Linked DNA regions of Ovis aries. The protein of the gene in region 1 interacts with the protein of each later gene in a biochemical or structural test. Links are inferred from orthologs where the notes say so. Each region holds a gene or a part of one and is shown on either strand. Other genes may lie near its edges. The genes, in order: CREBBP, NFE2L2, NUP98, AKT1, IRF5, histone H2B type 1-B and VDR.

Region 1 (3,826 bases):
ATTTATAATAATGAGGTGCTTGGTGTATATAATTGTGTCTAATGAGCATTAATGAGTTTGAGATCTGAATATTCTTCTTAGAAAAGTTAAATAGTATGGAATATGTAATTATCAAGGGCTTTTTTTTAAACACATTTTGGTTTCGTTAAGTTACTCGGATAAGTGTTTGAGTTGTTTATATTATAATTGTGCTGATGGTGATGTGAAGATATTATTATTACAGTAATGGTCTGAATTTTAAAGAAAAATTTTGTGATAGTGTTTTATGTCTCAAAGATCTTATGTTATAGTATCAGTTTTATAACCTGCTGTTTATGACATGGCTCTGAAGTTTGGGGAAGTTGGAAAGAAAGGAACTGTTAAAAATAAGAATCAGTGGTATGATGCAGAACTTCTGCCATATGTTGAATCGATTAGGACATTTGGACGATGGACAGACAGACGGACAGATGGGTATTTGGGTCTTCTCTGTTAACTTTGAAGCCCTTGGGAATGGAGCTCTTTATGTTGCTACAGATTTTCCTCAGTCAGCCACGGTATTTCTTGAACAGCTTCACATAGCAGAGAGCTTAGCATCGTGCCCTCCCACGTAGGAAACTCGGAGCAGAGAAAGGCGTGGTGTTGCCTGGTCACTGTACACCATGGGTTCAAGGAAATGCAGTTTTGTTTTTTGGAAGATTGTGTCAGAGATCGTAATTAAGTTACTGTTACTTGATACCTTTAGTAATTAAGATATTAATTAGGTTAATAAGTAACAGAACTGACCAACTAGGCGTCTCCTCCGCTCCTCCTCCTCTTCCTCCTCTGTGCCTGTGCACTGAGCAGTGAGGGACCCCGAGGAGCAGCAGCAGGAGGGGCTTCTTAGCTCGCCTCAGTGGAGGCTGATGACCCCCATGTTTTCCCATGTTTGCTGTTTCCCCAGAACAGACTTCTTATGAGCCTCTACATTTAATACACGCTGACCTTGACTGTGTGATCGCTGATTTTCTGGTCCGTTGTTTTCTAACATAGAAGCTTGAATTCTCTTCAGATTTTTGTTCTTCGGGTGCCGCTGTGCAGATGAAATTAATAGAATGGGCTCCTTCTGTCTGCACAGTTCCTTTCTTGGTAGCGGGGTTCCAGTGCTTCATGATATACATAGGTGGTCTTCTGATAAAATTTTACTTGTTTTTCAGTCGTTTTTAACTCACTTGTAGACTTTTCCCTTTTACTTATCTCTTGTGTTTGTCTGTTTGTTCTTATAGCCATCCTGGGGTCTCCAGCTAGTGGAATTCAAAACACCATTGGTTCTGTTGGCACCGGCCAACAGAATGCCACTTCTTTAAGTAACCCAAATCCGATAGACCCCAGCTCCATGCAACGAGCGTATGCTGCTCTTGGACTCCCCTACCTGAACCAGCCCCAGACGCAGCTGCAGCCTCAGGTTCCTGGCCAGCAACCAGCACAGCCTCAAACTCACCAGCAGATGAGGAGTCTCAACCCCCTGGGTAGGTGAAAGGACTCTCGAGAACTTCCTTGTGCAAATGCAGTGTCGGGAATGACGAGCCTTCTGGAGCCCAGGGCTGTTTTCAGCTACTGTTTTACTTTAAATTCAAATTTTAAATTTAAATATATATATATGTAATAAAATTCAAATATATATATTATGGTGAATGGTGTCTTTTAAATGATTAAAATAAAAAAATTCCAGGAAAAGGCTAAAGAGTCAGGTACACTGAAGATGTTACAGGCTTGTAAGATGAATCACATTTGCAAATGAACCAACATTTTTGTCACTTGTGTCTGGATAGTTTTCATAAAGGGCATTTCACATGGCTCAGAATGCAAAATCTCACAGGTTGGAATTAGGGCAGTACCACTTGCCTTGACTCTGCAGCTCCTAGCATTTCTTGGTTGTGGACTACGTGTGACTAGAGCCGACCAGTCTGAATCCGGCCAAGCTAACAGGGATCTCAGAACAGGGTTGTTGTGGTGGTTTGGTTCTTTTCCTAATAAAGTATTTTCACTTTAAAGATACTTCATCTGTTGCGTGTTGGGAAATAGTTGCCCTAATGCATCTCTGACTCCTGCTGGCTAGAAGACTGGGTTGGAGTCTTGAAATGTCCCTTCCAGTCTGACACCACTTCTGTTGGTGGTATAATCTGGAACAAGACTATTAACCTGCATCCCACCTTTCTCTTACTTTAGAACGAATACTGTAGACAAATTGACCTTTTGTCTTCTTCACGTGAAGTTAATTTCTATGATTTTTATCTTCTGATATGCAAAACAAAAAGATGAAGAAGTGTATGTGATGGGAATGAAGCCAGAATCAAAACCGAAGCTGCAGATGGATCATTTCTGATTTTTTTCCATAGCCGCCAAGCATTCATGCTGCCAGCCAGCCTCCGTAGAAATGCTCTTCTTTGGTTTTCAAGTGCGATGGGAAGCAATTGAATTTATACAATTTGACCACCATTATTGAAAATATAACTCCCAGAGTTCCTGCCATAGCATTTATTATTATGAGTCATAAGAATAATTTTCATAAGAATCATTTCTTTATATGTGACTTATCTGTTATTAGGACTTTGAGGTGTATAATTTAGGAGCTCGTTGATTCCTTTTCTTTTTGTCTTTCAGGAAATAACCCAATGAACATTCCAGCAGGAGGAATAACAACAGATCAGCAGCCACCAAACTTGATTTCAGAATCAGCTCTTCCAACTTCCCTTGGGGCTACAAAGTAAGACCCTTGTTTCATTTGGCTCCTGTCTGAGTGACAGTCACATGTTAAAGTGGGCTGGGAACCACATAGAACTCTTGGTTCTTTCTAAAGTGTAGGGCTGTTTCCCTCCCTCCCTTCTCTCTCCCTCTCCCCTCCCTCCCTCCCTCCCTCTTTCTTTCTTTCTAACAGATAACAGAGTTTAAAGTCACATATGGTTGAAGACCCTTAGTTGGATGAATGTCATGTGAGTCACTTTTCCAGTTGGATGACCTGTTCTTCCTCTCCCCTCAGCCCCCTGATGAATGATGGCTCAAACTCTGGGAACATTGGCACCCTTAGCACTATACCTGCAGCAGCACCTCCTTCCAGCACTGGCGTTCGGAAAAGCTGGCATGAACACGTCACTCAGGACCTGCGGAGCCATCTAGTGCATAAACTGTACGTGGCCCTCTCGCCTGTTACTCACATGTGATGGAAGCACTTTGTGACTGATGGCAGTGTGATAGTTTTGCAGTTTCCTGGGTATCTGATTTAACTCCCAGGTGTTCTTTTGTGTCCCAGGTGATCATACCCTTGCAACTGAAGGGGATCACGTGCTTGTTTAGGGAGGCTGGAGGATCCCAGATTCTGAGTGCCCAGTGGATCCTGGAAAGGAATATGAACTTTGACCCATGTCACAGGGGCAGGCCTATTTTCTAAACTCTCAGTGCATGGGGAGCTGGAACTCACTCAGAAGCTTGTCTTATTTTATGGCTCAAGGCTATAGTTGTGGGGAGCCCTGAGAATTGCAGGAATTTGGGCCTAGTAAATACGGATGGCTTCACAATACCATCATACAATTAACATGGGAAATTAATAGTTGATTTCTCCAGCAATTTAAGTTAAATGAAGGGTGACATTAATCAACTCGATTCCGATGGAGTTTTCTTTTTTTTCTCCTTCATTATTTTAATCAAAATTTTTTGTACTTAGTAGTTTAAAGATTAGGAATTCAAAATCATATTATTCTTGAGTTGGTCAAGCACTTATTGTTAATAGCAAAATATTGTTGTGTTTGATTTGTGGATAAATTGGCAGATCAGCATTGTCTCCAGAGAGTGACTGCGCATGAACTAGGCA
Region 2 (4,626 bases), on another chromosome or scaffold:
AAGTGCTTCTAGCCCACAGAGGTTTCTTTTTCTCATGTAGCTCTGTAAGTAAAATTCGTGTATTTAGCTTTCAATTCTTCCTGATTATCCTAAAGAAAGTCAGATTTTGGGGTTTCCCCTCCCAGCACTGTTTATAAAAACCCAAGTTGACAAGAAAGAGTCCAAAATGGCCCATGCTACTTTTAATGCAGACTGATGTGAGTTACGTTTTTATCCTACTACAATCTTTCACAATCTCTCAAGAGGTTTTTTTCCAAATATCTAAAAAGTCAAGTTGTTCTTTGCTCAACCTTCTGGAGATGAGAGGGAGGCCTTATTTTTCTTTGGAAGTTACCTACCTAGTCCAAGATCAACTTCATTCCTCATATGCAAAAATACTTTCTCCAAGACAGCTTTGAAAAGGGTAGATGATTCCTTCCAGAAGCTAATGGAAATTCAGAATGTAAAACTCTACTGCTCTTCATCAACACCTCCTTTGCACAAAGGGGGAAGAACTTTTACCCCCGTACCACCTCCTGCCTGGTGTTTCTTTGACAAGAGGTTAGAATCCACTTATGACTCTGTCCAAATCTTCCTGGACTACAAAGATTTAATATGAATCTTAGTTACAGGCATGACATTAACTCTAAATTTTATTCCATTTTCTTTTATACTCTTCGCATATGCAAACTGAGGTCTGATTACAAAGGGTGGAAAGGGAGTTACCTTAACAAACATAATTGGAAAGTTCACATTTAAAAGAAAAAGCAGTAAAGATGTTTACCCACTTTTGTATATGGAATGGTAAATTATATAGTTAAGAAAGAAATAAAAACTTCAGTAATATACCCCTCTAGGCTACATTCCTGAATCTGGGAAAACTAGAGTCCATTAGCATCATATATCCTTTGGTCATATAGATTATTAAAGAAATGGCTATAGGGACTGAACAGCAGCTGAATCGGAAAGCACAATTTATTTCTTCATATCGTGGGGAGGAAGGAACACAGTCTTAATCACTACTGGGGGAAAGTTCAAGACAACAGCTTCCAAGGGAAAAAAAAGGCACAATCACTACATTGTCAATATATCAAAACCTTACTTCAGGATTAGTCTAAAGCTTGATGTTTAAGAGCTTAAATATATTTACCGTTCCTATTAGGTTACACATTTCCTTGAACTAAATATTTTTCCAAAAAACGCATTCACACGCACAAATTGGAAATAAAACTATCTACTCCTTTAAAAAGTCCCTACAAAATATACACAGAAACTTGTTCCCACATTTGCGACATTTACAGAACTTGTTAGCGAAGTTTTATGAGACACAGCTGTCCCACCCTCTGCCCTCTCAAAAGCAACATACTAGGAAAGCAATTGAGGCAAATTCTCAAACAGAAAAGGAAAACTACATAAAGCACCCAAAAGAGAAACAATGTATGAAAGCGCAACATTTAGTAACAGCCTAAAAACAACAGAAATGCTAATCTACACTCGAAATTCTTACCCTTGACAGCAGAGAACAGAATATCCTGCCTTACACATTTTGGAATTGCAATTCCGAAACGCTAAATCCAAAGACAAAGCCGCCCTAGGGAAAATAACAATTGCGCAACAGATCAACAGCTCCAACTTGTCCCTTGGCCCCGGCGCGGCAAGGTTTGCACGCTACAAAGCAGGAAAGGGCCCACTGAGGGCCGCCGTGACAGCCAACCGGCCACTGTCACGGCGCCGGGACGACGCTCGCGGCGTGCGCCACCGGGAAGCACAGCGCCGGGATCGAGAAGCCCCGGGGAGCTGGGGTGGGGTGGGGGGCGAAGGCCCGTCGGACTTCAGAGTCCACCGCCCCACCCGCCCTTGCCGGCGTATTGCTAGGGGCCGACTCAGAGTTCTAAGAGCCCGAACCCTTCCCTCGGGGCGAGGCGGCGCGCAGGGCAGGGTTCGATCGCCGTACGTCGGGGAAACCGAGTGCGCTGGGCGCTTGGTGACCTCCTCCTGCCCCCACCCTGGGAGCTGGGCATTTTCGCCAAGCGGCCTCAGGGCGATCGCAAGGCTGGAGTGATTGATCACTCTGCCTAAGAGAACCCTCAGCAGGGTAAGAGCGCCGCGGCTCGCGCCCGCGGAGGTCTTGAGCAGAGGAGCAGCGGCAGAGGAGGGGTTCCGGGTCCCAGCCCGGAGACCTCAGTTCCCCCGAGAGTGGCCCCGTGACTAGGCACATTTTTGCCGGCTCCGAGGCGGGGGAGCCGCGCAGCCCCGGAAGGGCCGGGCCGCGCCGGCTCAGACCGCCAGTGTCCGCCCTCTCCTACCCGGTTGCCTCCCGGCCGCTCAAACTCGGAGAGGGGGCCGGCCGCGGCTCCAGCATCTCGGCTCCGGCGACCGGGGACGCGGTTAGAGACGCACTTCGCCCCCACGCGCGCTGGCGTAGCCCCCCAACCCCAACCCTACCGCCCTCGGGGGCTGCGGGCGCGTTGTCAGTCACACCATTCCCCGCGCCCCCATACCCCTCGCAGCCCTTGGGGTCGCCACTCCCCTCCCCCGGCCCCAGCTCAAGCGCGGCGGCTCTGGTGTGTGCGCGGCAGCTGCAGTCCGCTCCGGCCACAGACGGGGAAAGAGGCCGATGCGGCTGTCCCTCCCGGGCCGCGGCTCCCTCGCGCCCCTGCTCCCGTCCTGGCACCACCTGCTGGGACGGCAGTCCCGGCGGGGGCAGCTCCAAGTCCATCATGCTGAGCTGGGGACGGTGCTTTGAGGCTCCCCGACGGCGGCCCTGTTCCGGCTGCCGAGGCTTGGAGCGGACACGGCGGTACTGGTGGCGGCGGCGGCTCCTGGGGGATCCTAGGAACTCGCTTCTCCCTGACTTGGCCGGAGTCGCCGATCGGGCTCTTGTCCCGCTCCGCCTCCCGCCCCGCGAGGGCGGGGCGAGAGCCCAAGGCCCTTCCTTCCCCAGCCAGCCGCCCGGGCCGACCTTCCGAAAATCCCCCACCCTCGCCGGGCTGACGCAAGAAGCTGGCCGTCCTGGGGCGGGAAAGAGTTGCGGGCGGGGGTCTCAGGGGCGGCTGCGGGCAGGCAGAGTGCCGGAGGAAGGCCCCCGAAGCTCGCCTGCCTCCGCTGTCAGTTTGCCCTTCTAGCGAATACGGCCATCGCTCCCCGCCCGTGGGATTGAGTTGTTTGCCGAAGGTCGCTGGGGTTCGGGTGCTTTGAAACAGTTTAAACAGTTGAAACAAACATGCTTGGAGACTCGGCAAAGGCGATGGTATCGGAGCTGCGCCTCCCTGCTTTGGATTTGCAGAACCTTGCCCGGCTTTCTCTCTCCCCACCGCCCGAGAGTGGCGCCAGCCCGGGGGGTGGGGGCCGGAAGCCGGGACCTGGGCCCAGCTCACGGCGAGCTGCCCTCTCGCTCCGGCTCAGCCAGTGAGACTGGCCCGGGGGAAGAGTGGACCGCGCGGGGAGCTCGTGCTCGGTCACCCTGATCGCCCTCCACTTACTCCCACGCCTTGCACTCTGGCCAGGCTTCAGTCCCCGAGGGCGAATGGAGAAGTCTCTTTGGATCGGAGAGTGGTCGAGCTTGCCCATCCGGAGCATTCTCTTCCCACCAGAGTGCACACGCCACACCATAGATGGCGATTTTTAACCCTGTTCGATATTACAAACGTGTCATAACCTCTAGAAGTTTTCACGTACTCAAGATACGATTTTAAAAACAAAAACGCAAAAAACAAGTTATAAAACTGTGTAGTATGGACCCGTTCTGTGAAAGCATGTACCTAGAAAAAAAAAAGTTCTTCAAAATATTACTAGTAATATTAATAGTTGCAGGACCTTGAATGATTTTTATCTCTTTGTTACTTTAAGTATGTTTTAAATCTACGATAAATGTGTATTATTCACTGCACCTTAAAAACAATTATTTAAAAAGTAGTCAGTGCCCAGAGCAAACTTCAAGTACTTGAAAACAGGAATATTGTGAAATCTTATGATTTAAAAAAGAATAGAGAAATGGTTTAGTTTTGTTTTCTCTTATGCAACAGCACTCTTTCTAGCTCTTTAACAAGCCTGATTTTCAGTTTATCACTTCTTCGAATTATGCAAAACCAGGTGGAGTAGACAGTGTCTGGCACTGGTTTTACTATTTCATTCAAAAACCTGACGCCAAAAAAAGAAAAAGAAAACCATAAAAGCCTGACTACAGCAGACCAACGCCCCCAAAGCTGCAAAGAACTTACTTTCTCTTGGTTGCGTAATTTGACCCTCCCAGGACTTACCTGTTGATTTATATGTTGGAATATTTCTTAAGGTAAGTGAAGCCTAAATTAATTGCCTGTAATTGAAGTAAGTTTCTTCAATTTGAATTAAACTTTCAGCTGTTAAGTGAGAAGGCTGCAAAATGATCTGCACACTAACAACAAGCTCAGGAGAAGTGATTTACAGTGAACCTGACATGGAATATGCAGAGACATTATGAAATGACATTTCTGTGTCAAAGAATGGCACCAGAGTATATTGCTAACAATTCAAGTTACTTATTAAAATTAGTACATGGAGAAGGTAGACAGAGAGCACAGGAGGCAGGCAATAACAAAGTCATATACGACATGATGGCTGCCCTCCAGCGGCTTATAAAATTTGGTATTTCCTTGTTGGGCAACAAAT
Region 3 (3,826 bases), on another chromosome or scaffold:
AACAGGAAATTGCTTTCCTGGAAATTTGGCAAATTTCAGGGGAAAGCAGAAATCTGAAAAGTTTTATACATGATAGGAAGCAACATTTGCCCCTAGAAAACAATAAGGATAGTGTTAGAATTGCACAAAGAGTACAGTACAGAACAACTTGTTGATTCTTCTAAGGTCTGATAAAAATTAGGAGAACTGAGCTTACTATCTAAGCCACACTCATAAGCAAATAAAAACAAACCCCTAAACAAAACACAAATGCTTTTTTTTTCCCATACAACTTTGTGTCTGCACCACTGATCATAGTTTGGAGTTGTCTGCTACAGAAGTTGACTCAGCTTAGAAGAAATGTGAAAAGCCAGACTTTACAGCTTTCTTGTAAAAGAGCATCTTTTACAGTACCTAATGAACGAGGTTTTGATGAGTGAGTTGCTGAGATGGGGAGCCTGGGAGAACATATTTCTTGAGAAGTATCTGCTTTAGAAGGAAGGTGAGTGATGCGCTGATCCAAGACTGTATCTACATCTTCTTCATCAGCAAGCAATGATGCTTTCATGATCTAAAAAAGCAATATCTATAGAATGAATGTGCTCCCCCAAATCCAAAGGCCATAAAAGAAAAACACAGCTTACAACAACCAATTAAAAAGCTCTGCCTCAGGTCATGTCCAGAGCTAGTACAACATTTGTGTGTCTAACTCTGTTATACTGTATGTGCCTGAAGGACAGAAGTTACATAAAACTTCTGTGCTTTGTATATAGTATCACCAGAGGCTGGCACACAGCAGCAGCTTACATATTTGCTGAATGAATTAATTTTAAAGTCAAATATAAGCCAAAGGCTAAATTCATATAATGACAAAAGGCATAAGCAAGGAGAAATTGAGACAGTTTAAAGAAACCTGTAACTATAATTAAAAAACAAAACAAAACAAAACACTTCTGTGGAGCACTTTCCAGAGCCTCAAAACCTCTTTGTAAATGAAGTTAGTATTTTATAGAGAAAAATCAGTGCTCACAGATGTTAAACGACTTGCCCAAAGTCACACTGTAATAGTTACAAAACTGGGCCTAGACTCTAGGTCTTCTGAATCTCAATATAGCCTTCCTTCCACCAATGGCAAAATGATGCCTGACATGGGCCATATTCCTGTTTTTTTCTCATTCCAGTGACTGTTCAATGCCCTTAAAGGACTAATGAAAGAAAAGGCCTGGTATTAAGAGAGGAAGATGAATACTAGTTTGGATTCTTATAATAAGGGTGGGTTAGGACTTCACCTGTAACACATGTGGATTAATTCCCAGTGAAGATGCAATGTGTGTTGAGGCGGACACGGGTTCCTGATCCTCAGGCACGCTCTCTTCTAACATGGAATCCAAAACTGGCTCCTGGGTGATATCTACCATGTCACTGTCCAGTTCCACAACCCTCCCTAACTGCTCCACCTCTGGGCTCTGGCTCTGTAGACAGCAGAAAGATCAGGGAAGCAGCATTAAATGACACCAGATAGACATAGAGCTTCTAGACCATATTTACTTTATTCAAAATATGATATAACATTAGATTCTGCCCATTCTATCATCATGTGAAGTAATATATTTGCTAGAGTATTGAAGAACAATTTCCCCAAAATTCCTCTATTATTACTTGGGATCCAAATGAAGATTCATGGAATTACCCTTTTATAATATTATGGTCTGGAGCCTGGACCTAAGCCAGCACCCATACTGAAAAAACAGTCAACTTCAGACTATGATTATGCCTTACTTGATTTAGTTAGCAACCATAATTTTCTGATTTATACAGAGTTACCATGACCTCACAGTGCCTTGCAGCCAGAAGCCATGGGGAGAGAGAATAAAAGACACAAATACCAAAGTTTCTAGTACCTTTGCATTTTCTTAAAAGCATTTAGAAATAAATTTCTAGTTATCACAAACACAATTTGGGGCCTGGAATTTATTTTTTGGGAGACTGAATCCTAAGGTTAGCTCCACCTATGCAGTATCACATGGATATTGTATCAGATGTAGAACGTGTTTCCCAGAAGAAAAAAAAACAAAGTACTACTAGGAGCAATTTTAATCTGGGAATAATTCTTTCAGGTTTAAATATGTTTAAATGTATCAAGAGTTAGATTTACAATTATTAGGGAGTTTTAAAGATACAGTAATGATTAATAGTCTATTAACAGTTTGAAAAGGTAAACATTCAGAGAGCTGAAACATACTGTAAAATTGGCTCAGTGCAAATTCACATTAAATATGTCCTAAACTCCCACATGATCTGATAAAATGTTAACAAATGGCTATGCTAATTTATGACACATTCTCAAAGCTAAAAGTTGTTCTACCTTTTTTTCTTTCATAATATATCATCTGTAGATTACTAACCTTCCACAATTTCTGGTTTGTCTTTCATGAATGGCCTGTTTCACAGTAGACTTCAAATGGATCCAATTATACAATAGGTGGTTAAAAAAAGTTTCATGATTTCTTTGAACCAAGAAATGACCATTAGTGTAACTTTTTAAACTTTATTTTCAATAGTATATTACCTCTTACTCCCGTGAATTCCTTTAACAAATATCCTTACTAAGAGAATGACTACTGCCATCTATAGCTGTAGAAATGTTGAGGTGTTGGATATGTAGTGAATTGTTACTTATGTTGTGAACATTCCCTAAAGACTGCTCTAACAAAACTGAAGGCTAAATGGTTAAAAGACAAAAGTTTTATATATATATATATATATATTTAAACCTATTGGGGAGGCTACAGGCAAGCTACTTTGATGCTTTAAAATTCCAAAAAAAAAAAAAATTTAAAAGCCCTGGTGGTGATCCTACCATTATAATTAGAGGAATTAGAAGAACATTCCAATGCCCCCCCAGTATGTTCATTTTTAACCAATTCACTTTTAAGAAAAGTTATAACACTCCCCATCCTCTGTCAAAACATCAGGATACTCTTTTCTGTTGGGCTCCCATAATACCTTGTCTATACCTATCTTATACAATGTATATTATAATTTCAGGTATATATTATTTTTGTCCCACCAGATTGTAAATGCTTGAAAGCAGATATAGCCTGCTGCTGCTAAGTCACTTCAGTTGTGTGTGACTCTGTGTGACTCCATAGATGGCAGCCCACCAGGCTCCCCCGTCCCTGGGATTCTCCAGGCAAGAACACTGACTGGGTTGCCATTTCCTTCTCCAATGCATAAAAGTGAAAGTGAAGTCACTCAGTCGTGTCTGACCCTCAGCGACTCCATGGACTGCAGCCTTCTAGGCTCCTCCGTCCATGGGATGTTCCAAGCAAGAGTACTGGAGTGGGGTGCCATTGCCTTCTCCGCAGACATAGTCTACTATTTTCTGTATCTAATACTAACCACATTGTTAAATTCACAACATTTAGTTATTTAATGCAGTGCCTGCCACACAGGAGAAAAGGCTAGTAACTATGAAAGGATAAGGAGCAAGTATAGATGAGAGGAAAGGGAGGAGGAGGAGAGTTTCAATTTACTGTACTATTCAACAAAGGACTAACAAAAAGAGGTGCTCATTTAGAACACTTTTAGAAGCAAACTGGTAGGATTTAATCAAAGTCTGGAGACTGAGGGACTCAAGACTATCTTTAAGAATGCTATGCAATCAAGGTTTTATTTGCTTCCTCCTCATGTACTGACTTCAAAATTAGTATCATCTAATAAGTGGATGGGGAAGTGAATTACTATTAAACTATGAGGACCTGGTAAACTCCTAAAACCCTCATGTGTGAATTTTAAGTATATCTAAGTAATTGCAATAAACGACCCCAAAAGACGTTGTTTTCTG
Region 4 (3,826 bases), on another chromosome or scaffold:
AGCCAGCCCACCCCACCCCAGGGCTTCTAGCAGAGGGAGCAGAGGCCCTGACCCCGACCAGGCCCTGGCTGGGGGCTCCCTGGGGTGCTTTACCAGGGACTGGCTCCTGTGAGCCCTGAACCCTCCTCCCAGGCTCCTCGGGTGTCAGCAGAGCAGCAGGTAGAACAGCGGCGGGGGGAGGCCCAGGAGGCAGGTCCCCTCCGGCAGCCCCGTGGCCGTGAGTCTGGGCTCCCCACGGGGCCCCCGGGGCTGGGCTGGGGGCTTTGGGCCTGGGAAGGATGCTCAGCTGGGCAGCTGCCACCTCGTGGGGAAGGAGGTTCCTCGGGAGTGTTGCCCAAACTCAGCGCAGGGGAGTGTGGGGGCCGTCAGGACACACATGGGAGGTGAGGACCACCCAGAGGGGCTTCCAGCAGCAGGTGGGGCAGGGGCTTGAGGCAGGCCTTAGGCCACAGGAGGAGGAGCAGAGCGGACAGGGAGGGCTGGGCGGCTCCGCGGGGGCCTCTGCGGCAGGGGCTGTTCACTGAGGAGGAATTGCCGGGGTGGGGGGCGAGAAGTCAGGCCCTGGATGGGCCTGGGTCCTGGGGACTCCTGGTGGTCTCCGGTGGGCAGAGTATGGAGGAGGGTATGCGGACCCCGAAGGCTGCCGCACAGATTTTCCTCCCTCTCCTGCCCCGGGTAGACGTGGGCCCCCAGCACCACTCCCCACCCCCACCACCCCGGAGACCCCCGCCCTGGTCCCCAGCCTGGCAGACCATTCCTTGCTTCCTTGCACTCGGCTGAGCCTGGCGGGGCCCCCGCGGTTGCCAGGGCCTAGACGCTGGAATGTCGGAGGCCCCTGCACTGGCCCCAGGCCCCTCCTGCCTCCACCGGCCGAGCTGGAACCCAGCCCCGCTCCGGGCCCTGGGCCCTCCCACAGCTCCTTCTCTGCAGGTGTGCGCGTTTGGGGCACGTGTGCTCCAGGCGTGCGTGCGCTCCCAGGCCTGCCAGCCGGTCTCCGCTCCTGCGTGCACCGGGGTTGTGGGCAGCAGCGTGGAGAGGGTCAGCCCAGGCGGCCTCTGGGGTGGACGGGTGGCCTCTCCAGAGGATGAGTCATTGCCAGCCTCCATCCCGGGCCTGGCCCTGCGCTGAGATGGGGCCGGGAGCCCGCTGGTCCTCGTGTGGCTGGGGGGTGGGACGCTCCTGCTCGGGAAGCTGGGGAGCAGCTCTCCCAGAGGCCTCCTCCCCGCCAGCCCCTCCTCAGGCCCCCCAGGTCCCCCATCCTCCTCCTGGCTGAGGACCATGTCCTGGGTGGCTGGGGAGCTCAGAGACCAGAGGACAGGCCTTGGAGATGGATCCGTCCAGTCGCAAACACCCCCTCAGGGGCACTGCCTAGCTCTCAGCAGGGCTCCAGCTGGAAGGGAGCTCTGGCCCCCTTTTACAGGGCGGGAGACTGAGGCTTGGAGAGGTCTGGCCTGCGGTGGGTGGGCCGGGATGCTGTGCAGACAGGTGCTGCCTGCCCTTAGAATGCCAGCTGATGAAGACGGAGCGGCCGCGGCCCAACACCTTCATCATCCGCTGCCTGCAGTGGACCACGGTCATCGAGCGCACGTTCCACGTGGAGACGCCCGAGGAGCGGTAGGGAGCGCAGGCGCCGCGGCCGGGGAGGCCCCGGGCCCCGGGCAGAGCTGGGGTCTCACCTGAGCATCCCGCAGGGAGGAGTGGACCACCGCCATCCAGACGGTGGCCGATGGGCTCAAGAGGCAGGAGGAGGAGACGATGGACTTCCGGTCGGGCTCACCCGGCGAGAACTCGGGGGCCGAGGAGATGGAGGTGTCGCTGGCCAGGCCCAAGCACCGCGTGGTGAGCCCCAGCCCTGCCCCACACCGCCCTCCCAGCCCCTGCACGGAAGCGGGGGCGACGCGCCGGGCGCAGGGAGGCCTGGGAACGGCTCTCCCACCCCCCGGACCCCAGCGTTCCCAGTTGGGGCGCACAGCCCTGCAGTCTCCCTTGAGCCCCGGACCCCCAAGGACCATCCTCCCCCCCGCCCGCTGCCCCAGCCTCACCGTCCTCGGCCCGAGGCTGCCCGCGGAGACCCCGGCCCCGCTCAGCGCTGCTGGGCCGCCGGCGGTCAGCGTGCAGCCCCCTGATCCTGGCGCCTGCACGCTGCCCTCAGACCATGAATGAGTTTGAGTACCTGAAGCTGCTGGGCAAAGGCACCTTCGGGAAGGTGATCCTGGTGAAGGAGAAGGCCACAGGCCGCTACTACGCCATGAAGATCCTCAAGAAGGAGGTCATCGTGGCCAAAGTAGGGGCGGGGGGGGCGGGGGGGCCGGGGCTGGGGGGGCGGGGGCGGGGCTGGGGGAGGGCGGGGGGCGGGGGGGGGCGGGGGGGCCGGGGGCGGGGGGGGGGGGGGGGGGGGGGGGGGCGGGGGGGGGGGGGCGGGGGGGGGGGCGGGGGGGGGGGCGGGGGCCGGGGGGGGGGGGGGGGGGGGGGGGGGGGGGGGCCGGGGGGCCGGGGCCGGGCAGGCGGCTCAGCAGTGCCCGTCTTGCAGGACGAGGTCGCCCACACGCTCACAGAGAACCGCGTTCTCCAGAACTCCCGGCACCCGTTCCTGACGGTGAGCGCGCCCCCCCCCCCCCCCCCCGTGCCCCTGGGGACCCCAGCCCGTCCTCCCTGCCAACCCAGCAGGCTCGGAGCTTGGACGATGGTGGGCGGGCCTGCGGGAGCGGCGTGGGGGTGCACAGAGCGGGCAGGGGCTCCCGGCTTCCCTCTGTCCTGCTGAGACCCCGGGAGGCTGCACTCCCCGCGCCCACCCTGCTGCTCCCGGCAGGCGCTCCCTGTCCTGGGGGAACTCGGCCCAGGAGGGATGTAAGGAAAACCCGAGCAGCAAGGCGTTGGCTGGACTTAGCCGCCAGGCCTGGCTGGCCGTGCTCCCAGGTCAGCAGTCAGGCGACCGGGTCAGCCTCCAGAGTCTTGTCCCCGGGACCACTGTGCTCAGCACGGTGTCTGCTCTCCAGCGGACGCCTGGTCTAACGCGCGGGGAGAGCCGAGCAGCAGGCAGGCTCCTAGGATGTTTTCTCAGGAGAAGTGTGAGGCGTTAAGAGCAGACACTGTTTGTCCGCCCAGCCCAGAGTTATCATGACCGTGGCTTTGCCGCCTCCGCTTCATTTTGCCCCTTCCCCTCTGTCTGGCCAGAGGACTGTGAGGAGAAGGCCAGGCTTTGTCATGCCCTCCACTGGGTACCGGCCACCTCAAGTCCTGTAGGGATCCGGACTTGCTCTGCCTGGGGACGCTTGCCTCCCTCCGGCTCTCCCTGGGGATGGGGGATGGAGCAGGACGTGGGGGAGGGTCTCACGTCGGTATCTTCATGAGCTGGGGGCCATCCCATCAGTAGCAGTCTTTCTTTTGAAGTGAGGCTGCCTGTGGTTTGACGCGTGAGGGCAGTGGGTTGCATCCTGCAGGGGAGTCTCCACGTGGTCAGTGGACCTGCAGCTGCTGGTCCTCGGGCATGGCCTTTGGGGCAGCTGGGGGTCTCCTGCTCCACGGGGCAGACCCCCTGCCCAGCCAAGGGCCAGGTTCGAGCTCTGCTTCCCTCACAGGCCCTGAAGTACTCCTTCCAGACGCACGACCGCCTGTGCTTCGTCATGGAGTACGCCAACGGGGGCGAGGTAGGGCCCTGCCCCTGCGCTGCCCTCTCTGAGCCCCGGGTGCTGGGGGGTGGCCGCCCTCCCCACTCCCCGCCGGGTTAGGGTCTCTGCCCCGCGGCCCTGGCCGAGGCGGCTGGCCCGGCTCAGGCTTCTCGTCCCGCAGCTCTTCTTCCACCTGTCCCGGGAGCGGGTGTTTCCCG
Region 5 (4,568 bases), on another chromosome or scaffold:
ATCCCATCAGGATGCAGGTTGGTCAGGGGGTCTGCCCTGACTCCTCAACAGCTGTGCAGGTTTGCAACCCCCAGACTAGCCTTGTGGATTAGAGCCCTGAAAGATGGGGGAAGGCGGGATGAGCATACATCAGCTTCCATGGAAACATCAAAGGAGGAGTGGCCTGCTGAGGACCTGAGGAAGGCCCTATTATAGGGGAAGGGGCAGCCCAGGAGCATCTCCGGAGGTGCACAGGCCCGGCAACTCCTGAACTCCCAGGAGCCAGCCACAAGGGAAGCCTGAACACTGTGGGCACCAGGGACCTCCTAGGGGAGAAGGCTCTGCAGCCCCCAGCACTGCGAGATCAGCAAGCCCTTGCACCTCCTGAATTTGATTCAGACGTTTCCCGAAAACTCCACACCAAACTCCTGAAGAAGGCATGGGTGCCCGGCGTCCAGCGAGACCTTAAGCCCCTCCCCCTCCAGGGGAGACGAGCTGAGACTCCAGGGCGGCAGATGAGGGCAGAAAGACGCTTCCCTCGGCTTCCTCTGGGGGCACGGTGGGGTAAGGCCAAGGCGCAGGTGGGGAAACCCCAGGGTTAAAAAAAGGGTGGTTTCCCAAGGCTTCCCTTGACTTGCTGGGAGCCCCAGTATCCAACCCTATAACCCTGCTCTGGCCTGGCTGCCTCTCCCGGGAGACTCTAGCTTTCTCCATCGACTCCCCCCCGCCTCGTCCTTACTGGTCCTGGTCACTCATCCCCGCTCTGGGCGCGCAGGGAGCCCCAACTCGGCTCTGCTCTCAAGACCGTCCCCGCAGGTGCCCGGCTTGGCCGCGCCTCCTGGCCCAGCCCACTGAACTACCCCCACTCCCTCCCCGGCCCGGAGCGCTGGTTTAGGGTCTGCCTCTCCGACCGCTCCTCAGGGTGGAGGAGCCCCCGCCCTCATCCCCGCTCTGCTGGGGGCAGGGTGGCGGCGAAGGCAGGGAAGTCCCCTCCGCCTCAGGTCCCCAGGGCCAGATCCGGTGCCTCCGGGGCCACAGAGACAACTGCGCGCCCGGGCCGCGCAGGTGTTCACCGTCTCCTATCCCGCAACACGGTCACACTGGTCTCACTTTCCCTCCACTTTTAGATTCTCGATTGTTTCCTTCTGATGCTCGGGGGAAGGCTGTAGAGAAACTAGTCTAAGAAGTATCACGTCCGTGGTTCTCGCTTAGGAGGGTCAGCAGCTGCTTTCCTCCGCTGCAAGTAAAAGGACAGCCGGCGCCTCGCCTGACACCATCTTCCCAACCACTCTCTGCCCGAATTCTTGCCATTGTCTTAAGATCCAGGGAGAGATGGACCTCTTAAACCTCATTCTCTTACTGGAAAGGATGAGGGGAGGGCTGCCCAGGGAAGGGGGATCGGAGCGTACAGAATTCTAGGCGGAATCGGGGCTTTCCCTCCATGGCCCAAGCCGGGCGCTGCCCATCCCATGGCAGCCGGGCGCTGCCCATCCTCCGCGAAGGCCAGAGGAGGGGAGAGAAGCAGGAGAGCTGGCGCCCCCGGCCGCGGTGCGGACTCCGCCGCCCGCGCGTCCGGGCTCCTCGGGTGCCTTCTGGACCAAGGCTGATGGTGCGGGGCACCCCTCTCTGATCAAGACATAGGAGGCATCTTGGGGACCCCCACAACGGCGGGGCGCGTCCTGCCTTGGGCGTTCCCCACCCTGAGCTCGGGCACCTGGAAGAGCCGGACGCTGACCCCTCCCGCGCGCCCGCACCGCTTCAGTCCCCAGCCCGCCGCCGGCAGGTGCCCCGCGGGCGCGGAGAGGAGCGCGCGGCCGCCTGGACTTACCTGTCTGCCGTGCGCCCGCGTGGCTGCGCCCGGGAGCCCCGGCCAGGCGGTGGGGCCGAGCTGCGCTGTCCTGGAGCCGCGCCGGTCCGCCCGCCCGCCCGCTCGCCACTTCCGCATCACCCGCCCCCGCCCCTGGGCCGCGGCCGCCCAGCCTTGGTGCGCCGGCAGCGCCCCGCCCTTCCCCGCAGAGCCACCCTGGGGTCCCCGCGCAGACTCAGCGACCGAGGGACGGGGCTGAGCCCCGGGCCAGGCTGGTTCCCCTGCAGCCCAGGGCCTGGCGGAGATGCGCGGCAGCGCGGTGGCCTGGACGGACTGCTGGGCTCCGTCAGAAATCTGGAGGCGCAAGAGTCGTTCGACAACCTCAGCCCCCCCACCCCACTCTGCCATAGTGATCGGCTGGGCCCGGGAACTTTCTAGCCTGTCCCTCCGGGACCTCTAGATTGGTACGGACACTGGCGATCAACCGATCCACATACGAGCGCGGTGGGGGTAGTAGTAGCCCCTGGCGTTCGCCCCACGAGCCCGCGAACCCTTCCGAGGGTCGCCCAGTACCCAGCCACTGGCATCCAGACTCAGACACTCCCTCCACAAGGTGCCTACAGACAGGGATGGTCAGGCTACTCTCTTTCTGATCCTTAACCTTCGCACCTGCCTGCCCCTGCTCCCCGTCCCTGATCGCCTTGGGGACCTCTGTGGGTCAGCACCTTGGTCTCTCGTCCCACCTCTTCACTCACCGCTACCTTGACCATCCGTCTGCCAGTCTGAACGTTTTTTGGTTCCGCAGGCAGGCCTCGTTCGCTGGTTGCAGCCCTCACATTGTCCAGTTACCACTCCTGGAGCAATCTTCGCGTGGGAACTCCTGCTCCTCTTCAGATTTTGTTTCAGCATCACTCCTTTGAAAAGCTTACCTTGACTTTGTCTCCTAGGTAGGGTTCCCAGACCCTGAGGCTTATCTTCACTGGTTTTCACTTAGGAGTTTAATGTCTGATTTCCACTAGAATCAGCTTACTCAGGAACCATGCCTGTCTTTTCATCTCCTATTTTCTATAGTAATTTTTAATAAAAAAATTTTATATGAAGGAAATTTATGTCAATCGATTACATCTTAGATAGAAACTAAAATATATAAGTTCTAGAAAGTACTCTTTGCCCATTAAAGTTTAGTGCCTGTATTTTTAACAAACACAGGGGTAGCAGTTAGTGGATGAATCAGAACTTTGACCTTCCCTTCCCACCTCCATCTCTGTAGAAATACCTGGGTTAATCTTCACCCCTGATCTGTTTCATTGCTCGTTACGTGCTGTCCTTTTTCTCCTCTCTTGCATTTCTCTCCTTCTCCCCAACTCTTGTAGCCCTAATATAAAATAGAAATATAATCTTATATAAGTATTGTATTATTTGTATCTGTTGAATATGTCGCTACTTAAGATTTTTAAGATTTAAAGTGTGAATGCAGAAAATGAGGATAGGGAGATTGTTCTGTATTTCTTTCTTTAAAAGTGAAACTGCTATTTAAATTGAAAATAGTTCCCCCCAAAATACAAACCTTTTTCATTGGAGGTGAGTCGTGCTTAATAGGAAGTATTCTATGTTGGACTAGAAAATATATCTGGAATGATTGTCAAGAAGAATCTTCTAAATGTCCCACACACACAGTCTAAGGGAGACTAGAACTAGGATTCTGCCCACCCCCACGACTATCCCCAGTCCTCAGGTGAGGCCCCCCACCCTGTGAGCCCCTGAACTTGGTCTAAAACCATTTGGGGGATTTCCCTGGTGGTACAGTGGCTGAGACTCTGCGCTCCCAATGCAGGGGGCCCAGGTTTAATCCCTGATCAGGGACCTGGATTCCACTTGCTGCAACTAAGACCTGGCACAGCCAAATAAGTTTTAAAAAAAGAATCCTCTGGAGGCCATGTGTAGAAGAGGGGGCACTGCCCTTGAGCTTGCATCCACTTCCGCTGTGTTCAAGCTCAGGGACCTTAGGCAGGTCCTGTGAATCTCATTTCCTGCGGTGAAAGGGGAGATGATGGTACTATTGAGATCGCAGCATTGGCATGAAGTTCCAGGGCCAGGGGCTATGCAAGGGCTCCACATCCCTTGGGTCCTGCCTTCCCCAGGTTCAGGGGAACCCGAACCAAGAAGCACTCTGGGCCAAAGACACGGCATCAGGAGGACGGGGTGGGGACAGAGAGCATCTCTCAGACTCTTCCAAAATTCAAGGGTCCCCTTGCTTCCGGATGCTGACTTATGGTGAGGCTCAAGCAAAGGAGAAGTGAGACTGAACCAGGGACCCCATGTGATCACTCCAAGTTCCCCCGCAGTGGGGCCAAGGCACACGGGGAACGAGGAGACGTGGCCTCCACAGCTGGGAGCCTTGGTAGAGATGTGTGTCCACGCCTCTCATTTCCAACGGTGAGACAGCCCCTGCCCCCACTTCCCCTGGTCGGGGCATCAGATTGAGGGTGTGGTGAGAGGCCTGATTCCGGTTGAAGCCACAGTGCGTGTGTGTATGTGCAAGGGTTGGGGGTGGGGGGAGCCACATCACCAAAGGGAACCGAAAGCCCAGTGTGAGTGGTGGGGAGAGAACCTAGAGGTCCTGCAGGCAGCCGGACAAGACCCCCTCCCGACTCTAGACCCGTCCCCTCAACACAGGCCCAGGACCCAGCCCCCACACCCTCCCTCAGTCCGGGCTGTCAGGCTTCCCCGGGGCTGGCCTGGCCCTTAGATATTCACTCCCATTTCTGGGAACTTGTTGGCG
Region 6 (3,889 bases), on another chromosome or scaffold:
TGCCAGGGTCCCTGGGTGGATGATTTTAAAAAATCACATGCATGCAAAGGTGGAATTGATGACATATATACACTGGATCCTGATAAACTTCCATGGGGGGGCGGGGGGATTGTTTTAAAATTTTGAAAGCAAAGGCAAGAGAAAAATAATCTTGGCAAGAGTAATTGCTTTTTGTTATCCTCAAGACTAAGTACCGCTCTAGTCTCCCCTTCTCTTTATAAAGGCCCTTGTGGATTACAAAGGTTTCGCCAGCTATGCAGTAAAATAATGCTTGTGAGAACATTTCCAGAGTCTTTGTTTTAATGTCATTTGTCTTTTTACAATTAACCACCTACGCAGCATAACCTGGCTACCAGCTTTTTTTTTTTTTTTTTAATAAAAATGTGGATGGCTGTGAAAAGTCTTTGAATAGTTTATTAAAAAGTTTCTTCTTTTGTCTAGGCTTTACTTCCCCTTCGCCTTGTGGTGACTCTCCGTCTTCTTGGGCAGCGGCACCGCCTGGATGTTGGGCAGGACGCCGCCCTGAGCGATGGTGACTTTGCCCAGCAGCTTGTTCAGCTCCTCGTCGTTGCGGTTAGCCAACTGCAGGTGACGCGGGATGATGCGGGTCTTCTTTTTGTCCCGGGCCGCGTTGCCGCCAGCTCCAGAATATCAGGCGTCAGGTACTCCAGCACCGCCGCCAAGTACACCGGAGCGCCGGCTCCAACCCGCTCGGTATAGCTGCCCTTGCGGAGCAGGCGGTGCACTCGCCCCACTAGAAATTGTAAACCAGCCCGGGAAGACCGAGTTTTGGCTTTAGCTCGAGTTTTGCCTCCTTGTTTACCACGTCCAGACATAGTTACTTTGTAAAACTCAACAGCAAAACTTGTGAGCAGGAAAAAAAAAACCCTGGACGACCAAGGGGGGATAAAAATATTTTTTTAATAGACAGTAGAGGGATGCGCCACTTAGGTCTCCTATTGGTCAGAAGGACGAAGGTTTTTCTATCCAATAGAAAGAGAATATGTGTATCCCTTATTTGCATAAACCCCTCCCTCCAGACCTTAGTGAACCTGTACTGATCTTACCCAATCAAAAGTGAGAATTTTTCATTCCTCATTTACATTGAAGCGCTATAAATATCTGGTTTTTGAACTCATACTGGTAATCTTAGTCGCGGAGGCTATCATCTAACGTTTCTAGGGCAAAACAATGCCTGAGCCGTCTAAATCTGCTCCCGCTCCTAAAAAAGGCTCTAAGAAAGCCATCACTAAAGCACAGAAAAAAGATGGCAAAAAACGCAAGCGCAGTCGTAAAGAGAGCTACTCTATTTATGTGTACAAGGTTCTGAAGCAGGTCCATCCAGATACTGGTATCTCATCTAAGGCCATGGGTATCATGAACTCCTTTGTGAACGACATTTTCGAGCGCATCGCGGGCGAGGCGTCACGCCTGGCGCATTACAACAAGCGCTCGACCATCACATCCAGGGAGATCCAGACGGCCGTGCGCCTGCTGCTGCCCGGGGAGCTGGCCAAGCATGCTGTGTCTGAGGGTACCAAGGCCGTCACTAAATACACCAGCTCCAAATGAGTGCCTGCATAGGCAGTTAATCCAAAGGCTCTTTTCAGAGCCACCCACTTTGTCGAAGAAAGACTGTAACTGCCGTTTTCTCGCGCGGTAAATGCAATTCTGTCCTATTGATTTAAGCATCTACATCTACTCTAGTGGGGTTAATAGTTGAAGCAATTTTGGAGCCAGAACCTCTAGCTACTTGAAAAGTCTCTTGGCATTTAAGAGACGTTCCCCGAAAGACACATCTTCCCGTTTCCCATGGACTAAGCATCCAGATGCTTGGAAATGCTCACTCTTCACGAGGCCTCTTAAAATTTTTGATGGTGATTAGAATTTTCCTTCCGGGTAAGGAAGTGGTTGGGGGGATTTCAGGGTCCCGATCCTCAAGGCATCTTTATGCAGGTTGTCTTTTCAGGGCAGGTTGCAGGGAAGGCAAATCAGTGGGGTTTTCTCCCTGTTATTGGGGAAACTAAGCAAAATCACCTGTTGTTCCTTTAGCAAACCGCGGACACTTTTATAAGGTATTAAACTCTGCACATGGTTGAAATGAGATTTTCTAATTTCTCATTATAATTGTATAGTGATGGAAACAGCCAATGTAAAGCCGTTTCCATTTTTCTTGCATTCCTGATATCTGGGTTCCAGTTTCCTGGGTCATTTACCTTCCTGGGATGGCACTAGAAGAGGTTGAAAGTGTGGCACTCCCAATTCTAGGAGGGGAAATGGTTTGAATTTTCTGACCTCCCCATCTGGTGTCACCTCATTTGCAGACTAGGAGGGCCCCAGGTGGAGAGGAAGGTGTGCTAATTTTTCTTGGGAAAATTTTTTAAGAGAACATACTACTCCCAAAATAATCCTGATAGGAAGGGCCTTGGTTGTGGAAAAGGAGTCAGTGGGGCTGGATGAGGGGAAGAGCCACGAAAAGTCAGCGGTTGACTGCATATTAAAAAGGTAGGGGAAAGTCTTTTCTTTGGTTTATAAGCACCATATTTAGGTGACATACATCAGTGTGTTTGGATAAGGAAATAAAAACTCGAAGTAGAATTTCTCAAAAAGACCACTTTTAAATTTTGGAGTTAAATGAACTTTTCCCAGATCCCACACAAATTAGGTGACTGCTATATGAGAAGACTTCCCTGTCTCAGCATACATAAAACATACCTGTGAAACAGAAGCTTGTCTTAGAAGTTAAAAATCTTGGTTTTTAGATTGTAACCCCCTCCACTCATCTCTGGGGGGAAAAGAAAGAAAAATTGAACTCAAGCTGCAGTTTCAGAATTGCTCTCTGGAGGGATGAGATCTTAGTGGTAATATAATCTCAGTCTCTTCAAAATTATCTCCTGGGGTAGAACTTATTATTTGCCTGCTTGCTTGCTTCTATCTTCCTTCTCCTTGCCCCTTCCTTTCTTCCTAATAGTTGATATTTTACAGAACTATATACAGTCAGCAAAAAGACCAGGAGCTGACTGTGGCTCAGATTATGAACTCCTTATTGCCAAATTCAGACTTAAATTTAAGAAAGTAGGGAAAACCACTAGACCATTCAGGTATGACCTAAATCAAATCTTTAATGATTATTTCAGTGGAAGTGAGAAATAGATTTAAGGGACTAGATCTGATAGAGTGCCTGATGAACTATGGATGCAGGTTCATGACACTGTAGGAGCAAGACCATCCCAAAGAAAAAGAAATGCAAAAAAGCAAAATGGCTGTCTGAGGAGGGCTTATAAATAGCTGTGAAAAGAAGAGAAGTGAAAAGCAAAGGAGAAAAGGAAAGATATACCCATTTGAATACAGAGTTCCAAAGAATAGCAAGGAGAGATAAGAAAGACTTCTTCAGGGATCAGTGCAAAGAAATAGAGGAATATAATAAAATGGGAAAGACTAGAGAGCTCTTCAAGATCATTAGAGATATTAAGGAAACATTTCATGCAAAGATGGGCTCAATAAAGGACAGAAATGGTATGGACCTAACAGAAGCAGAAGATATTAAGAAGAGGTGGCAAGAATACACAGAAGAACTGTACAAAAAAGATCTTCACGACCCAGATAATCACGATGGTGTGATCACTCACCTAGAGCCAGACATCCTGGAATGTGAAGTCAAATGGGCCTTAGGAAGCATCACTATGAACAATGCTAGTGGAGGTGATGGATTTTCAGATGAACTATTTCAAATCCTAAAAGATGATGCTGTGAAAGTGCTACACTCAATAGGCCAGTAAATTTGGAAAACTCAGCAGTGGCCGCAGGACTAGAAAAGGTCAGTTTTCATTCCAAGCCCAAAGAAAGGCAATGCCAAAGAATGCTCACACTACTGCACAATTGCACTCAT
Region 7 (4,340 bases), on another chromosome or scaffold:
CATCTGTTGCCTAAGCAGTTGTAATAGCCTGCCTAGGAGGCTTTCTGACTTCAAAAAACATGATCGTTTACTGAGTGTCTATTATGTGTCCAGCACGGGGGTAGGCGCTACCCACACAGTCTCATCTGGTCCCCTCAACAGCTCTGCCGATGGGGCATCATTACTGCCTTTGATGGATGAGGAGTCTGCAGCTTGGAGAAGTGAATCCATGTCACCCAGCTGGAGTACACGAGCCCCTGGTGCTTGCTCTTATAGCCCACATTCCATTGGTCTAGTGGTCCTTTTCTAAATAAAATGCAGGGACTTCTCTGGTGGTCCAATGACTAAGACTCTATACTCCCAATGCAAGGGGCGTGGGTTCAGTCCCTAGCCAGGGAACTGGATTCCACATGTAGCAACTAAGACTCCGCATACTGCAACTAAAAATCGCACATGGTGCAACTAAGATCAAAGATCCTACATTGCCGCAACTAAGACCTGGCACATCCTAATTAATTAATTACCATAAATAAGACGCGAACGTGGTGGTATCATCTTGTCTCTTAAAACCTTCGGTGGCTCCTCACAGGCTGCAGGAAGAGACCCAAACCCCTTCCACAGCTTGCAAGGCCCTTCCATTCTCCTGCTGCCCTCTTCCCTCTAACCGCACGCTCTGACCACAGCAGGCTATTTGTAGCTCCCTAAACATGCCGGGACTCTATGTGCTCGCTAGTTCTGCCCTCTTTGTGTGGGATAATCTTTCCTCCCTGCCCCACCCAATCCACACCCTTTGTCCTACTCCCGGAGAGATCCCACACAGCCACCCAAGCCCAGCCCAGATGTCACTCTGAGGTCTTCTCCTGCCGCCCCCGTGCACACGCTGCTCGGCGTCAGCGCTGCTGTCTTCACATCCGTCTCTTCTCTAGCGCCTGCGCTTTCTCCATTATAACCCTCTGTTAACCAGGCTGAATGTCCTGTTAGACTGTCAATTCCGTGTGGGGAGAGGTGGCGTCTCTGGCGCCTGGAGGAGAGCCTGGCGGAGAGTAGAAGCTCCGCAGCTGTGTGTAGGATGAGGGAACGACTTAAGTGAGTACAAGGTGAGCACCTCAGGACAAGCACAGTGTCACAGTCACAGGACACGGTATGCATCCCCATCTCACGGCAGGTGCCCAGCCCCCAGTGGACGTGCAGTCAAGGGTGAGTGAATGAAGGTGAGGAGAGGAGAGAGGATGGAGCGAGGAGAGAAAAGGGAAGGTTGGATTCACAAAGCAGTTGCAGGCATAGGCACTACTTTGTTCCTTCCACCAGGGGGCGCAAGAGGCCCAGGAGCCTGGCCCTCGGTTCTTGAGGATCAGCCTTAACACCGGCAGAGGTTTGGGGTTGTTTGCTTCCACAGAAGAAGGAGAAAGCAATGGCACCCTACTCCAGTCCTCTTGCCTGGCAAATCCCATGGACGGAGGAGCCTGGTAGGCTGCAGTCCATGGGGTCGCTAGGAGTCGGACACGACTGAGCGACTTCACTTTCACTTTTCACTTTCCTGCATTGGAGAAGGAAATGGCAACCCTCTCCAGCGTTCTTGCCTGGAGAATCCCAGGGACGCGGGAGCCTGGTGGGCTGCCGTTTATGGGGTCGCGCAGAGTCGGACATGACTGAAGCAATTTGGCAGCAGCAGCAGCAGCAGCAGCAGCTTCCACAGAAGGATTCAGGAGGAGCCAGGATCCGAGGAGGGGAGTCCACCCAAAGCTGAAGTGCCTCAGCAACAGGCCTGGCACTGACCGGGCCTGGCCTGCCTGGTGGGACCAGAAGGAGCCAGCTGCCCATCCTGGGATCTCCGTGCACCCAGGCGAGGCCCACCTTGGGACAGGTAGGTCCTTGCAACTGGAGTCGAGCTGGCCCAGAGCTGAGAAAGGACTCAGAGCCCTCCACTGCATGGGCCTGGGGCAGGTGGTTTTCACAGATTCCCGGACAGGAGGCAGTTCTTTAGAATTCACAGCTTTGTCTTCGCACTTCTCCTGTGCTAGTAAAGGCCAGCCTTGCAGGGACTTGGGGCAGAGACAATGAGGAACAAAACACAGTCATTGCCCTCCGGGTGCTCCCTCCCTCCCTGTGAAGCCCTGCACCTGAGTGTGACCTTGGGCACCGCCTTTAACCCTTTCTGGGCCTCAGCTTCCTGATATATTGTTCAGTCACTAAGTCGTGTCTAACTGCAGCACACCAGGCTTCCCTGTCCTTCACCACCTCTGGAGTTTGCTCAGACTCACGTCCACTGAGTCAGTGATGCCATCCAACCATATGTAGCATTGTTTAAATGATGAAATGAGCTAATCCATGAGACATTTCTAGATTACTGTGCATCAGGCAATAAGCATTCAGTAAACGGCAGCTATTATCAGATATTACGGTGATGGTGATTCAGTACCAACAAGCTCTTAGAAGCTTACATGGAAGGCGCGCGGGAGACTGGCCAATGCCGCCAGCTTTGAATTAGCCTTGAGCATCCACCCAGCTGGTCTTTCCATGGCAAGCCTTAGGGATGGAGAAGAGAGATGAGTACTCTGTGCTCACGAGGCCTTCAGTCCTGAAACACAACACACCAAACAGATCCAGAGAGAAAACTGAGGCTCAGACCCCGTGACTGGAAGAGGCCTCAGAGATAAGTGGAGGCAAGGCAGAGAGAAGGGGTGTCCAGCCCAGGGACCTGCCACCCTATCTCTTGGGGTCCTGAGGCCACATGGCTGCATGGGCACAAGATAGCTTGGTGACTTTGGTCTAAATTAAATGCCACCAAACATTTGTGTTATAGAGAATTTTTAGTAGTTTTGGCCTCTCACCCACCCTTGTGAACAGGTGTGCAAGGGGACCAGTACAAACAGGAAGGGTGAGAGGATTGGATGGGAGGTGTCAGAGGGAGGCGAGAACGCAGCCTGGGATGCTGGAGAGACGGAGGGTGAATCCAGACCGTGGTCACTGTGGCCGGGCCTCGGTTCAGCTATGCATTCTTTCTCTCTGGGCACTGGGCAGGAGTGGGGGTGGCCTCTCGAGTGGTGGGGGTCATATGCTGGGAGTTGGGTCCCCTGCGTCCCGTTTCTGTCTGCTCTTGCCTCAGCTTTCTCTGCTCTATACCTTCTGCCCCTGCCACTGAGAAAGGCCCAAAGTCCCCACTCTCCTTCCAGAAGTGGTGCTTGTGCGACCTCCTGCACGAAGCCCTCCTTGATTCTGACCCTCTGCGGGGGACCATCTCTGAATCTTCATGTTAGCTTGTTTATACTGTCTCATGGGGTTCTTGCCTTGCCTTTGCACGTACAGAGGTGGCAGAGTACAGCACTGAGAGCATGGATTCTTGGCTCCCTGGGCCAAGATTCTGGCTCTAGCCTTTATAGTGCTATGGTGGGTGGAAGTTTCCTAACTTCTGTGTGCCTCGGTTTTCTCCTCTACAAGATGAGGAGAACAGCAGTACCTTCTGCACAGGGCTGATAGGACTTTAACATTTCATGTAAATATTTGGCCGTGTTGGGTCTTGGCACCTGTGCCTGGGTTTTCTCTAGCTGCAGTGAGCAGGCTTCTCCTTGTGGTGGCTTCTCTTGTTGTGGAGCAGGCCCTCAGCGGCTGCGGCCCTCGGGCTCAGCAGCTGTGGCTCGTGGGCCCTAGGGTGTGCAGGGTTCAGTAGTTGCTGCTCGCAGGCTCAGTAGCTGGGGTGCATGGGCTTTGCTGCCTTGTGGCATGTGGACTCTTCCAAGACCAGGAATCGAACCCATGTCCCCAGCATTGGCAGGTGGGTTCTCAGTCACTGGACCACCAGGGAAGCCCTGATAGGGCTGGGAGCCACATTTGTAAAAGTACTTAGGCCTGGACCTCGAACGCAGGAAACGCTCTCTAAGCGTACGCTCTTGTTGTCACTGGAGGGCCTGTGCCTTACCCCCTCCTGAAGCCTGTTGCTCCTCAAGGAGAGGTCCCTTTACTTAAGCTGATTTGTGTCCCTTCAGGGCCCCAGCCCAGGGCCCGGCCACCACGAGTCTTCACTGACCTTGTGTGGAATGGTGATGGGACCCGAGGGCCCTCTTGCCTGGTCTCCTGTCCCTCTGGGGCCCCCAGAGAGCCGGGCTGCCTCCGTGGCTGAGGCCCTGCCTCCCACAACCCCGCCTGAGCTCCGGCAATTTTCCCGGGCAGCTCCCACGTTCTGGACTAACTTTAGGGTTGGTTTCCAGCTGTGGTTGGATTTTTCTGTTTGAAAAATATTTTAAGCAGCTGGTGGGGAAGGGGTGGAGAGGTGGGAAAAGAATAATAAATAAGGTCATGAAAGGAAGATTGTCTACATGGTTTGGAGTGGCCTCTGCCTCCAGCATGGTCTCTGGGCTGTGCCA

Evidence for each region.
Region 2: the proteins of CREBBP (region 1) and NFE2L2 form a complex in vitro, tested with the Homo sapiens proteins (2 studies listed by BioGRID, with this or other methods). The link is inferred for Ovis aries from reciprocal best matches to the Homo sapiens genes CREBBP and NFE2L2.
Region 3: the proteins of CREBBP (region 1) and NUP98 form a complex in vitro, tested with the Homo sapiens proteins (2 studies listed by BioGRID). The link is inferred for Ovis aries from reciprocal best matches to the Homo sapiens genes CREBBP and NUP98.
Region 4: of the proteins of CREBBP (region 1) and AKT1, one has a biochemical effect on the other in vitro, tested with the Homo sapiens proteins (2 studies listed by BioGRID, with this or other methods). The link is inferred for Ovis aries from reciprocal best matches to the Homo sapiens genes CREBBP and AKT1.
Region 5: the proteins of CREBBP (region 1) and IRF5 form a complex in vitro, tested with the Homo sapiens proteins (2 studies listed by BioGRID and IntAct, with this or other methods). The link is inferred for Ovis aries from reciprocal best matches to the Homo sapiens genes CREBBP and IRF5.
Region 6: of the proteins of CREBBP (region 1) and histone H2B type 1-B, one has a biochemical effect on the other in vitro, tested with the Homo sapiens proteins (2 studies listed by BioGRID). The link is inferred for Ovis aries from reciprocal best matches to the Homo sapiens genes CREBBP and H2BC3.
Region 7: the proteins of CREBBP (region 1) and VDR form a complex in vitro, tested with the Homo sapiens proteins (2 studies listed by BioGRID). The link is inferred for Ovis aries from reciprocal best matches to the Homo sapiens genes CREBBP and VDR.

The regions. Positions count from the first base shown.
Region 1 is NC_056077.1:3,656,442-3,660,267, reverse strand, and holds part of CREBBP (CREB-binding protein), read left to right. Parts: intron 1-1,244; coding exon 1,245-1,487; intron 1,488-2,622; coding exon 2,623-2,725; intron 2,726-2,998; coding exon 2,999-3,145; intron 3,146-3,826. UniProt on the Homo sapiens protein: Acetylates histones, giving a specific tag for transcriptional activation. Mediates acetylation of histone H3 at 'Lys-18' and 'Lys-27' (H3K18ac and H3K27ac, respectively).
Region 2 is NC_056055.1:132,851,459-132,856,084, reverse strand, and holds the start of NFE2L2 (nuclear factor erythroid 2-related factor 2), read right to left. Parts: upstream 2,850-4,626; 5' UTR 2,702-2,849; coding exon 2,657-2,701; exon of another isoform or gene 2,307-2,656; intron 2,172-2,306; exon of another isoform or gene 1,934-2,171; intron 1,517-1,933; exon of another isoform or gene 1,487-1,516; intron 1-1,486.
Region 3 is NC_056068.1:50,094,535-50,098,360, reverse strand, and holds part of NUP98 (nuclear pore complex protein Nup98-Nup96), read right to left. Parts: intron 1,452-3,826; coding exon 1,269-1,451; intron 551-1,268; coding exon 394-550; intron 1-393. UniProt on the Homo sapiens protein: Plays a role in the nuclear pore complex (NPC) assembly and/or maintenance. NUP98 and NUP96 are involved in the bidirectional transport across the NPC. May anchor NUP153 and TPR to the NPC.
Region 4 is NC_056071.1:66,964,092-66,967,917, reverse strand, and holds part of AKT1 (RAC-alpha serine/threonine-protein kinase), read left to right. Parts: intron 1-1,502; coding exon 1,503-1,614; intron 1,615-1,691; coding exon 1,692-1,839; intron 1,840-2,152; coding exon 2,153-2,284; intron 2,285-2,530; coding exon 2,531-2,596; intron 2,597-3,578; coding exon 3,579-3,647; intron 3,648-3,789; coding exon 3,790-3,826. UniProt on the Homo sapiens protein: AKT1 is one of 3 closely related serine/threonine-protein kinases (AKT1, AKT2 and AKT3) called the AKT kinase, and which regulate many processes including metabolism, proliferation, cell survival, growth and angiogenesis.
Region 5 is NC_056057.1:94,590,036-94,594,603, reverse strand, and holds the start of IRF5 (interferon regulatory factor 5), read right to left. Parts: upstream 2,977-4,568; 5' UTR 2,716-2,976; exon of another isoform or gene 2,542-2,715; intron 1,890-2,541; exon of another isoform or gene 361-1,889; intron 1-360. UniProt on the Homo sapiens protein: Transcription factor that plays a critical role in innate immunity by activating expression of type I interferon (IFN) IFNA and INFB and inflammatory cytokines downstream of endolysosomal toll-like receptors TLR7, TLR8 and TLR9.
Region 6 is NC_056073.1:30,872,316-30,876,204, forward strand, and holds the start of histone H2B type 1-B, read left to right. Parts: upstream 1-1,145; 5' UTR 1,146-1,191; coding exon 1,192-1,572; 3' UTR 1,573-3,889. UniProt on the Homo sapiens protein: Core component of nucleosome. Nucleosomes wrap and compact DNA into chromatin, limiting DNA accessibility to the cellular machineries which require DNA as a template.
Region 7 is NC_056056.1:138,634,759-138,639,098, forward strand, and holds the start of VDR (vitamin D3 receptor), read left to right. Parts: upstream 1-1,325; 5' UTR 1,326-1,843; intron 1,844-4,340.